Linked DNA regions of Caenorhabditis elegans. The protein of the gene in region 1 purifies or fractionates together with the protein of each later gene. This does not show direct contact. Each region holds a gene or a part of one and is shown in the gene's direction. Other genes may lie near its edges. The genes, in order: agxt-1 and cutl-20.

Evidence for each region.
Region 2: the proteins of agxt-1 (region 1) and cutl-20 fractionate together in Caenorhabditis elegans (co-fractionation; one large-scale study listed by BioGRID). This does not show direct contact.

Annotation. Positions count from the first base shown.
Region 1 is NC_003280.10:8,842,066-8,848,380, forward strand, and holds the start of agxt-1 (Alanine--glyoxylate aminotransferase), read left to right. Parts: upstream 1-3,532; 5' UTR 3,533-3,574; intron 3,575-4,164; 5' UTR 4,165-4,257; coding exon 4,258-4,314; intron 4,315-4,995; coding exon 4,996-5,154; intron 5,155-5,220; coding exon 5,221-5,299; intron 5,300-5,346; coding exon 5,347-5,455; intron 5,456-5,498; coding exon 5,499-5,697; intron 5,698-5,881; coding exon 5,882-6,009; intron 6,010-6,059; coding exon 6,060-6,155; intron 6,156-6,200; coding exon 6,201-6,315. Other genes in the region: F46C5.6 (Serine/threonine-protein phosphatase 4 regulatory subunit 4), read right to left, coding at 15-205, 309-641, 691-815, 865-972, 1,097-1,203, 1,245-1,318, 1,498-1,563, 1,640-1,701 and 3 more.
Region 2 is NC_003279.8:965,693-972,007, reverse strand, and holds the start of cutl-20 (ZP domain-containing protein), read left to right. Parts: upstream 1-2,550; 5' UTR 2,551-2,675; coding exon 2,676-2,771; exon of another isoform or gene 2,772-2,920; intron 2,921-3,519; coding exon 3,520-3,645; exon of another isoform or gene 3,646-3,690; coding exon 3,691-3,773; intron 3,774-5,084; coding exon 5,085-5,229; intron 5,230-5,274; coding exon 5,275-5,361; intron 5,362-5,409; coding exon 5,410-5,532; intron 5,533-6,315. Other genes in the region: shc-1 (SHC-transforming protein homolog 1), read left to right, coding at 58-548, 2,025-2,115, 2,170-2,328.

The DNA of each region.
Region 1 (6,315 bases):
ATGGAAAGTTTTACCCCTGGATTTTCTTTCACATTTTCATACAAAATCGGCAGAATTTTTGATAGATTGTGAGATATTTTAGCAATGACATCGGAAGATCCTCCATGAAGAAGTTCGATGAACGGTGGTATTAGATCTGGTTTATCAGGGAACATGGTTAAAACCTCATGGTAGGAAGAAGCAATGCTCACTCGAACTTCTTCATCTGAAAATTGTTATTTTTAATTTTATTGCAAAAAATAAAAAGACAGCATATTCATTATATTAATTGGGTAATGACACTCCGACCACACGGACAAATAACTCACCATGATCTGTACAGAACATCTCTAAAAATGGAAGTAATCGATCCACGTGTTTTTTGAACATAGTCAGCATACATGGATAATTGAAACAACACGTCTTCTTCAATACGTTACGAATATTCTTTTGTGGGCCTTCACATAGTTCGTCTGATATTTGCACCATTTTGCAGTATGTATTCAGAACCCATGATTTGTCAAGTTGATCGAGAAGCTCATTGAGCTCCCATGACCATTTTCCAAAGTTGTTCGATATCACTGCGAGACCTTCATTCTTTTTCTCAAGCGCCTCTTCGGTTAACTTTTTGATAACAGAGAAGAGTGTGTGCTTTCGTGCATCTGAATTTGAATTTGAATTATAATTGAAATGATTATTTTCTGACAAAACCTCTTGTGAACAAGGAGAATGCATCAGTCAAACTATTCATTGCAGCTTCTCTCACATTCATTTCTTCATCATTTAATAAATGTACATATGAAGGCAAAAGACAGGACACAACATCGTGCGAGTTTCTGAAAGTTAAATGATTTTACACTAAAACAAAAAACCCCAACAACTTACTTAAGAGCATTTGCAATGACAAAAAGTCGTTGAGCAACTGCTACTCTCACATTTGAATTGGCATCTTTGCACAAGGTGGTAACAATTGGGCACAGTTCTTTTCTTATTCTTAAAATGTTTTAATTCGTTCATTGCCTAGTTACATTTTTTGTAAGTTAAATATATTTTAGAAAGCCGGTAGGTTAGGACTATTATGAGAGCGAAATGAAACAATTTCAAATAACAAACTCACTCGTTCGGAGGTAAAAACAATGCCAACTTGTGAATAATCTTAGTGGCAATAATTCGTCTTTGTACCCTCTGAACAGGTTCTGCTTGTGTTTGAATTACAGGAACCACCTGAAAATTAAATGAAGGGGATATCTAATATTTATGCTTACATATAATTTGATTGAGCTTAGTGACAATTTGTCTGCAACTTCAACAATTGTTTCTAACCAAGCAGCGGCACTCACTGAAAAATATGAATTTAAAATTTACACATAATTTATTTAGTGCGCAAGTTTTTTTTAGTTGTTAATGTTATAATTTTTATAGTTTTGTCAATGTCTAAAATGGTAATTCAAAAGAGTATTAGGTAAAAAGGTAAAGGTATTATTAAAAACAAATAAATTGTTAGTTGAGAATACATACAATGATGCATTTGATTGTTGATGCTACTGCCAGCTTTTATAACAATTTTTTCCTTTTCCTGAGTGTCTGGAAATGGTTAGGATAGAGGATAGAAGGGGAAAGGTGGAAAAACATGTACATACGATACTTGGAAAATACTTACGATGCTCTTTTTGATTTTGAATATTTTGAAGAATATTCTCGAGTAGAAGATCAACGATTCCCCTAGAAAGCTTGTTATTTTAAAGTAGTGGAATGTTTTAATACTCACTGAAATTTTTTCACGAGGTCCTCATTTTGAATAATTGACTTATAGACAACTGCAGCTTCACAGTGAAGGTCTAGGTTTGATTTTTCAATTTTCAAACATTTTTGAATTGCTGGTAGCATTTTTAGAAGGCACTTTTCTCCGTCGGAGGTGTCCAGAATGTCAGGAAATGTGCGAATTGATGTGAGCTTTTGAATTTCAGTTCCGTCTCTGAAAATTTTATGGTATGAACGATTTCCTTTTTTACAAAATGTCGAAAAATCAATTTTGATTTTTTAATTAATAAATCTTACTCTAAATTGATTAGAGCCTGATCCAATGGTGATCTTAGCAATTCCTCAAGATCTGGATCTTCTGCCATTTTGAATAGTTTTTCGAAATCCAACTTCATTACAGGAGGTTCTTTTTCTTCTGTCTCGTCATCTTCAATTTGATCATGCTGGAAAACAAAACGAATTCTATAAAATCTTTTCTGAAGAAATTTTGGTGTGAAAGCCGTTTTAAGTAGGCAACTACTGCAAAAATTTAGTATATTTTCCAATGCCTAATTTCATTACTCATTACTCATTTTCACAATCAAAAACTTAAATTTCTAAATCTCGTTTTTTATCATTACAATTATGCCTTACTTTAATATCAACTATAGATTCTCCATCCATTTCTGTGGCAGCGACCATTGAAATGTTGGAAAATGTGATTAGAATATCTGAAATTTTTCGAAAATCAATTTACAATAAGATGAGACAAAGAGCAACACGAGAGAGAGATAAGATAAACGAAAAAAGAAAAGAGTCAACAGTTTGAACGTCCCGCCTTTTTTTCGCATGATCCATCAAGAGGTAGGGGCAGCTCTTTAGATGCATTTTTGTTCGGCAAACAAATGAAACACATTTTCAAAATGGTTTGCGTTGGGCAAGAAAGTTTGAAAGTGTGGTTAGATATGACGAGTGATCTAGAATGATGCAGAAACAACATGATTCTTCAATAATACAAACTCTTTTTGCTTTGGAATGTAGAGGAGGTGGAGGAGAAGCAGGAAGAGGCAGCTGTGACTCCCGGGCGATGAGCAACTATCTCTATCCTCTCGAAACATTCAAAATGATTGGTGAGACGCAGACATCAAGTCGGTGTGTAAAGATATTCGGCCAAGAGGATCGGGATCGAAGGGCACGCTTGTGATCCAGTGTGAGAAGTTAAAAGCGAGGGAGGAGATGAAGAAATGAAGACGAAAAAGCTCAAAGGATGAAGCTGAAGAAAAAAAAGATAGAGAAAGATAGTGTTCACAGCAAAAACAGACACTGAAACCGGAGAGCTTCAAAGATCACGAGACATCACAAATTTGAGTTGACCTGTAATTGAATCCAACTCGATTTCGAAAAACCTGAGCAGTTTTCTTATTTTTATCAATAAAATGTGCAATTGTTCAAAACATTTCAAAATGTGCAATAAACTCGTGTGATCTGGAAAGTGTTCTTCACGAATCAGTACTTTCCGAATTCTCAAGGTATCTCCAGGCATACAAGTGAATTGGCTGAAAAACTCATTTATAGATTTGGGTAAAGAAAAATGTGAGGAGATTTCAGACGAAGCTAGGCGAAATTCAAGGAATAAGATGTAGAAGCTAAATTTGAAAATGTTCAGAAGTTAATATCTCAAAGCTTTATTATTTTTCCAAAGTTAACACAAACCAATGAACTTTTAAATATTAATTTCTAAATTTATTCATCGTATCAATTTCTGTAGACGTGAAATGCTATTTTCATGGAAATGAAACTAGAAAAAAAATTTATTCCGAAGTCTAAACTTCTCTGGATCTGCTCGTTGTTCGAGGTAAAGTTCAAATTAAACTCTCTTGAAGTTGGTAATCTTTCTCGATTTGTATTGTTTTGAGTAAGATAAGTTGGTAGTCCTTAAATTTTCTAGTTTCATTATTTGGTAGACAATTTTGAAAAATGTTTTAATGTTTTTTTGTAGCCATCTGACTAATTCCACGTCATTGATTAGACCACTTTAGTTCCCATTATAGCTTATTGTTCGCACTTTATTAAAATTTTAACTGATTTTTAAACTGTGTATTTAAAAAATTCCACTAGTTTTTTTCGGATGATCTCCTAAATCTTGAAACGTTATTTTCTAGATTAACGGAAATGTGCCAATGAACTATCCATAAAAATTATGCTCAAACCAAATTGCAAAAAAGTGTTGTTTTCCACTCAATTTCCATAAACTATAAAATAACCACGAGGTTTTCCCCAGTGCACTTTCAAGTGTTTCTTTGAACTCTTCTCTAAAAATTGACCGATCTCTGGGTGTCTTCTCGTTATCATTTATACCATCGACTGGTCATTTATACATTGTGATAAAATAGCCCCTCAGTCAGTCAGTCAGTCAGTGAAAATGAAAGAACAATGTACTTTGAGGAGTCACAGAGATATTTGCCGCCTGCAGGACAACCTCCTCAAGTTTTCTTCTCTACCTCAATATTCTTCCTCAATTGATTTAATTTCGAAGATATGATTTCAACGCGATTTCTAAGACCTTCAGTCTCGATTTTTGGATTTGGAATTAAGGTGAGTTCAATTGGTTCAAAAATAATAGGTTTATTGAGTACACAAATTGGAACCGCCTCTGAGAGTTTATTGTCATCATACATCAACATATGTGTTATCATTGATGAAACTGTTCATTGATACAATCTTTTTAGTTACTGCAATTATTTTATATTTATATGCCATTGTTCATTAAAAAAAGTTTTTGAAGGTTTTTTCCTTAAAAAAAATTATCTAACAGCATGAAAATTATGTCTTTCGAGTTCAAACTCTAAAATCATGTACTTGATTTTTACAGTATTTGGTGAAAAAAAAACCCACTTTGATTTATGGAAAATTTCTAACCATCTAGTATGCCGTTTGGCATTCGACCCTTCAACCCTTCTCCCCTAGACATCAAACCAATTCTTGACCATTTGGACACACCGTTCAATCTCCTCTTGACCAATTGGTTTCTCTGTGTCTCTACTCCATTCTACATGCAAATAGAGCGCATTTCATATTAGTTCCATGTCAGTACTGCGAAATGGAAAACATTTTAGTTAAATTTAAGATCAGTTTTTCGTTAATGTTTTGTTTTTAATAACATTTGTTTTGAGAACCACGTGTTGAACGACCTTTTAGTTATTATATTCTCAAATTATCACTTCCAAATCGATTACCATGTTCTTCGAGTATTTATGTATTTTACTTTTTTTCCAGTCATCAATGTCGTCTCGTGCTCCACCAAAAGCTCTTCTGCAAGATATGGTTGTCCCACCGCGGCAACTTTTTGGACCAGGACCATCGAACATGGCTGATTCGATTGCTGAGACCCAATCTCGCAATTTGTTAGGACACTTGCATCCAGAATTTGTTCAGGTATCTTTTTATGTTTTGTTGGAAAAATAGTAAATCGAAAACTAATTCATAAAGCTTTAATTTCAGATTATGGCAGATGTTCGTCTGGGTCTTCAGTATGTCTTCAAAACCGACAATAAGTATACGTTTGCTGTCAGTGGAACTGGTTAGTGTGCATATATCAACTTTCTCAATATCAAATCTAATATTCAGGTCATTCTGGAATGGAATGCGCGATGGTTAATCTTCTCGAGCCCGGGGACAAATTCCTTGTAGTAGAAATTGGACTTTGGGGACAAAGAGCTGCTGATTTGGCTAATAGGTTTTTAAAATCAATATTCTTGTTACAAATTAAAAATTGATAGAATGGGAATCGAAGTTAAGAAGATTACTGCTCCGCAGGGGCAAGCAGTTCCAGTTGAGGATATCAGAAAGGCAATTGCTGATTACAAACCAAATTTGGTTTTTGTCTGTCAGGGAGATAGTTCAACGGGAGTTGCTCAACCATTGGAAACAATTGGAGATGCTTGCAGAGAGCATGGTGCTCTGTTCCTTGTTGATACGGTTTGTGGTTTTTTTTAACTTTCTCGATCCTCACCATTTATTTATAAATCTTACAATGTTTCAAAAATTAACGGTTTTGTTTCTGAAAAGTTTAAGGTGTTTTTTAATGTAGTAAAATTGAAATTTGCCGAACGAGTCTCAAAATTGAAAATAGATGTTTAATGATCAAAGTTTTCATTTTCAGGTGGCGTCCCTCGGTGGAACTCCATTTGCAGCAGATGATCTGAAAGTTGATTGTGTCTATTCGGCAACCCAGAAAGTTCTCAACGCTCCACCAGGACTTGCGCCTATCTCATTCTCCGATCGAGCCATGTAAGAATAAGAAACAAAACACATATAGTTGCATTCCTCTTCATTTTTAGGGAAAAAATCCGGAACCGAAAACAACGCGTCGCCTCGTTCTACTTTGATGCCATCGAATTGGGCAACTATTGGGGTTGTGATGGAGAATTGAAAAGGTTGGAAAAAACTATGAAATGATGAAATTTATTGAAAAATTTCAGATATCACCACACTGCTCCAATCTCCACTGTATATGCTCTTCGTGCAGCACTTTCTGCAATTGCAAAAGAAGGAATTGATGAATCAATCCAAAGACATAAAGATAATGCTCAAGTG
Region 2 (6,315 bases), on another chromosome or scaffold:
GCAGCCGACACTTCACGGGTCGATGAAAAAGCCCAGGTAAACCATCCTTATTTTCAGGTAATCGGTGAAGTGAAAAAAGAAAACTTCCCCGTAGACATCAACATTTCCTCGAAAATGATCAAAATCATAAAACAAAGTCGTCTAATTCAACGTCATCCCTTCTCATTCTTCTCATTCGGAGCCCAAGGCCAAAAGGGTACGGACACGGAGCTAATGTTCGGCTACATTGCAAAAAACAAGGATGGAACGGATCGTCGATGCCACGTGGTGTTCATCGAGGATGTGCACAAGCTCATCGACGTCCTTACCACTGCGATCAATGTGAACACTTTTGATGCACAGGCGAATGCTTCAACTTCTAACGATGGATTTACGGTGCCGGCGCCGCCGATGAGACATCGAAGTTCCCTGCATCGACAGTCATTTGTGTCGAATTGCCGAGCACCTACTGTAACTGAGGATGTTGTGGGGAAAGTTTGGTATCATGGAAATTTATCCAGAGAGGATGCACAGGCTTTGTTGAAGACGGAAGGCGATTTTTTGGTTCGGTAAGGTTTTTTAGATTTTTTATAGAAAAAAGCTAGAATTTTGCTGAATTTCTAAAACGTTTGGCTTCATGCTCACTAGGTTCACACCAGGGGCGCGTGGGAATCGGAAATTTTCGGCAATTGCCAAAATTCCAACTGAATGCCGACATTTTCGGCAATTTTCAAACCTAATTATAATTCGAAAATTGAAAAAAAAGTTAACTGTGTTTTCAGTATTCGATTAGTCATTTTTAAAAGCAAACGGTCAATACTTAAAAAATTAAAAAATGTTTAGGCTCCTAAATCTACAAAAAAATATCAAATCTATATTTTCGGCAATTCGGGCAAAATTTGATTTTCGAAGAAAAAGGCTAATGTTTTAATAATTGGCAATTTTTTGGTAAAACCTGAGATAAGTAAAATATGAGCTATGATAGCTGATCAATGCATCATGTCTTCCATGTAACTTTTTCCAATCATATCTCGGTTTATATCGCTGCTAGCAAAAAGTGTTCATCTGCAAAGTTGTAGAAGAAAAAAGGATAAATATTTTGTCAATTAACAATTTTTCAATAAAACCACAACCAGCCGAGATATAACCTGCCAAAGTTTTGTGAGATATTTCTTGTCGATGCACCATGTTTCTCATGTAACTTTTTCCAATCATATCTCAGTTTATATCGCTGCTAGCAAAAAGTGTTGAACTGCAAAGTTGTAGTAGAAAAAAGGATAAACATTTTGTTAATTAACAATTTTTTAATAAAACCACAACCAGCCGAGATATAACCTGCCAAAGTTTTGTGAGATATTTCTTGTCGATGCACCATGTTTCTCATGTAACTTTTTCCGCTAATATCTCGGTTAATATCGCTGCTAGCAAAAAGTGTTCAACTGCAAACTTTTAGTAGAAAAAGTGATAAATATTTCGTCAATTGAAATTTTTTAAATAAAACCAAAACCAGCCGAGATATAAACTGCCAAAGTTGCGTGAGCCGGTCAATGCACCTTTCTTTAACAACCTGCGAGATGTCGGTCGCTATAATTTTTTACTAATAGTAAATCGGATAGCTTTTTAATATAAGCCTATTTTAACAGACTTCGTAGAAAAATCTGAAAGTCTAAAAAAATCAAATTTGACTGAAAAAATAGTATGAAAAATCCTTTTTTTATATATTTCTGACTTAAAGCTTCAGTCACATTTCATATCTGTAATTTGTTTGATAATATGTTCAGAAGCCACGGGACTTTAAATAATTCTTGAAAGACCAGGGAAAAATTTGGTATAATAAGTTCATCCTCCCAAAATTTTTTTAGATTTTTGTTTTAGGCTGAAATTTTTGTTCAAAAAAAATTCTGCGTTTTTTTTCCTGAAATACAAAAGATGCAAGGTTTGCATGATGCTAAGATTGTCTGAAGCAGCGGACACCTCACAGTCCCCCTTCTCTAAAAAAAGACCCGCAAGCTGTCGGCCGCTCAAACTTGTCCAGTTCCTTGCAGACAAAGCGACCACACGCCCGGCAAGTACGTGCTGAGTGGCCGAACCGCTGAAAACGAGCACAAACATCTCATCCTACTGGACAATCACAACGTAAGACCCTCCCCCCCCCCCCCCGCCAAACCTTCAAACCTCTCAAAATTCCAGAGAGTCCGAACCCGCGATCGCACGTTCAGCAACATCTCCGAGCTCATCGACTATCATGTGAACAATGGGATGGCCGTAAGATCAGAGGGTCGGGATCGCGAGACGTCGTTGAATCTGATCCGACCTGTGCCGTGCCCCGGAAGTGATGATATCGAATAGAGTCGGAATTTGTTTCCTATTTTTTTTTCGATTTCTAGCAGAAATTGAAAGTCGAGTAGCAAATTGCGTAAGACTTTTTCCTCTTCTCGTCGCCCCCCCCCCCTCTTTCATATAATTAGGTAGTTGTCCTTCTACCGTAACATGTCATTACTATCCTCTTTCTTTCCTTCTTTTTTTTGCGATTCTCCTCCTCGGCCACGCTCCAATTATACCCCCCACCCACCTGTATTCTTACGCCACCACCCCAACCAGCGCACACATCTTTTTGTATTCATTTTTCCATATATATTTGTATTATTACTACTATTACCCTCACTACTGTTATCGATTTTTCCCTCCACAAATTTATGATTCTGCACTGGATCATTTGGTCGGTGGTTGTGGTGCTGCCACCGCTGATTCGATCGGTGGCCATTGTGGACACTTCTATTGCGTGTGATAAGGTAGGGATGGCCTAGAAAAGTCACCTAGTCCAACACTCCCACCCCGTATCTATGTTTCTGCCATCTTGTGATATTTGCTCCATACCATATACCCTGCCCATTTCTGTCCTACTTTCATATCCTGAAAAAATGAAGTATTTGAGAATCGAGTTTTGAAAATATTAGTGGTGGCCTAGAAATTTTAGGCTTGGGTTTAGGCTTAGGCTTAGGCTTAGGCTTAGGTTCAAGCTTAGGCGTAGGCTTAGGATTGGGCTTAATCATGGGTTTAGGCTTAGGCTTAGGCTTTGGCTTAAGCCGAGACTTAGGTTTGGCGTCAGTGGCGAGCGTTAGCTTGCTACTGACGCTATTTAGGCTTAGGATTTTCCGGTTTTTTTTAGGCTTAGGCTTAGGCTTGAGCTTAGGCTTAGGCTTAGGCTTTGGTTTGGGCTTAGGCGTAGGCTTAGGCTGAACCTTAGGCTTAAGCTTAGACATTGGATTAGGCTCAGGCTTAGGCTTTTTGGAAGATGTGTGGAGCCAATAAAAAGTTGCATGGAAAAAATATGACGTCACAAATGACCTAAAATGTTTCATTGTTTTTGGCAAAAACACAATAGTTTAGAAATTTGGCTGCAAGAAGTTCCTCGGCCTAGAAACTCTCTTAAACTCTCGAAAAAGCGAATTTGAAGGGCATTTAATGGAAGATTAAAAACCCAGGCCAAAACCTTGAAGGTCACCACCCAAAAGGAAAAAAACGTCTTCAATATTGCAGACAGATTTCCTATTGAAAATCAAGTTTGACGAAAACTTCCGTGGCACGATACAAAGTCGCGCGGGCCATCCAAAGTGTATCTATGCAAATGGCACGCTTCAATCGGACACCAAATATCAGTTGAAGGTTTGCCTATTGAATGTATTGAATTTTTGGGCATTATTTGCTTAGATTCCGCTGACTGGCTGCTCGACCAAGGAGAACGGAGAAGGCAATTTGGAGAATGAGATCGAAGTTGTCATGGCTAACAATGAGTGGGTTTTTTTTTGCCATGTGGTACTAGGTTTTTTGCCGCTATGCTCACAAGGAAAGTATTTCCGCTCAGTTTTAAAGGTGGAGTAGCGCCAGTGGGGAAATTATGAAAAACCATTCATTTGGTCCCAAAGTGACCGAATATCATAATAAAACTTTTTTTTTTTGTAAATGTTTTATTTACTGTCAAAAAGTGGCAATTACTCAGGTAGTTTTGGATCATAATAAGTGTATTTAGACAAAATCCCCCACTGGCGCTACTCAAAATTTAAACTTGAAAATTAAATTTTTGAATTTTGAAAAAAGAGCTTTCAAATAGGTACCTACAAAAAATTCAGCGACATACGAGCACTTTAAACTAGAAAAATCTCGCTCTGAAGTTGCTGCCAGTGAATTTTTACTACCAAATTTGGAGGCTAGTTTAGAGATTTTTGAAAAATTTCATGATTTTTAGGCTATTTCAATATATACAAGTATTCTGAAAGCAGTTTGGAAATTTTCTGATTTCTCCTAATTTCTAATTTTTCTAATTTCTCAAATTTCTCCTAAAATCTGCAACTTTTTTCACCCAACAATTTTCATCGATCAGGATATTTTTTGGAATTTTTTTTTCAAAAAAAAAAAAACATTTTGCAAAAAGATTCCAGAATATTTGCCAACCTCGAAATACCCTAAAAATCATGGGGTTCTGGCGCGCCATGGCCTTCCTCATTGAGATTCTCGCGCTCCATTGGCAATCGCCCGTCGGGCAACGCGTGGGAAAGTCGTGTACTCCACACGGCCAACTACATTTAGTTTTACAACTAAAATCGAGCCGCGACGCGACACGCAACGCGCCGTAAATCTACCCCAGATATGGCCGAGCCAAAATGGCCTAGTTTGGCAACCTCTTCCATTTCAATTTATGAGGGAGGCCAAAAATCTGTGATTTCAGATCGATTTTTTTCTAATGTAGAATGATGATCATATTATGGTATTACCGGTACAGAGAGTGTAGATAGTTAGAGAGTGACAGACATCCGGGACCCAATGGGGCGGGGCGCGCGGAAGAGACGATTTGTGTCGATTTACGAAATTTTCCTCGTTGTCATCATTTCGTAAATCGACACGAATCGTCTCTTCCGCGCGCCCCGCCCCATTGGGTCCCGGATGTCAGTCACTCTCTAACTATCTACACTCTCTGTACCAGTAATATTTGTTATTGAAACTAATTTTTTTAGGAGCATTTTTTTTATTCCATGGTACCTAAAAAACCATATACGAACAAAAATAGACAAAAATAAAAAATAACTTCCTCATCGTTTTTTTTTAAGATTCAATGCAGAAACCGACAAACGATTCCTTCTGACCTGTATACCTGCTGCCCCTGTTCCTAAAGAATCTCAGGTGACCGTATCATTTGGTGGAATCACTATCAACTCGGATGCCACCACAGCAAGCAGCCTATCGGATAATAAGGTAAGGCTTCAAAATTATCGCTGCGAGACCCATATAATGTTTCAGACAGTCGACTACCGAGTTCGTGTTCTAGACGGCGACAGTTTGGATTCAAAGCAGCTACAACGTCCGTTAGCAGTTGGTGATAGAGTTGTAAGTCAGGAACTCCATAAATCAAAAGAAACTATTTGTAAATTGTAGACGTACACAGTTGAAATGAGCGATGATCAGAATGGACGAATCGGAAGGTGTTGGGCGAATGACGGGATATCCGAGCTACCACTGTCGGACTCACACGGATGCTCTTTGCAGACTTCTGGGGAGGTACGGTTTCATTAAAAAAAACATAGTGCATCGACATTTAAAACTGCCGAAAACTGGGTCCTGCCACCAGTTTTTCAAAAAAAAAAACTAACATTTTGCTCAAAATCATCATGGTGCATCGAAGAAACTTACAAAATTGGGTCGGTCAAACTTTTGGGGCTCTGCTTCGATAGTGAGTGGAGTACCAAAATTTGATACTTTGCCTTTTTAGACCCAAAATGGTCCAAAAACTACCAAATTTCGTATTAAGACGTTCTGAAAATTTTTCAAAAAAAAAAGTTATTATGACCTCTCAAAGTTTTGGAAAAATGGTCGATTTTTAGCTAAAATCTCAAATTTTGGCACCTTTTTAGTGTCGGAGCGGTTGGAACATATTTTTATGCATGTTTTTGCAATTTATCACGTGTTGTTTCTAAAATTAAGCTCCAGCTGTGACATTGAAAAGTTGCCAAAATTTGAGATTTTAGCTAAAAATCGACCATTTTTCCAAAACTTTGAACGGCCATAACTTTTTTTTTTGAAAATTTTTCAGAACAGGTTAATACGAATATTGGTAGTCTTGGACCGTTTTGGATCTAAAAAGACAGAGTATCAAATTTCGGTTCTCCACCTTTAAGCATGGCCAGGTGCTTTTCTAAAAATCGTGTAGCCCATAACTAATGCATCATTCGGGATATATTATTGAAAGAAAAAGTCCTGCACAAAATTTCGCGCTGAACACTCATTTTGATACATTTGGAAAAATCGATAATTTTCATTGATATTAAATACCCATTATGATTT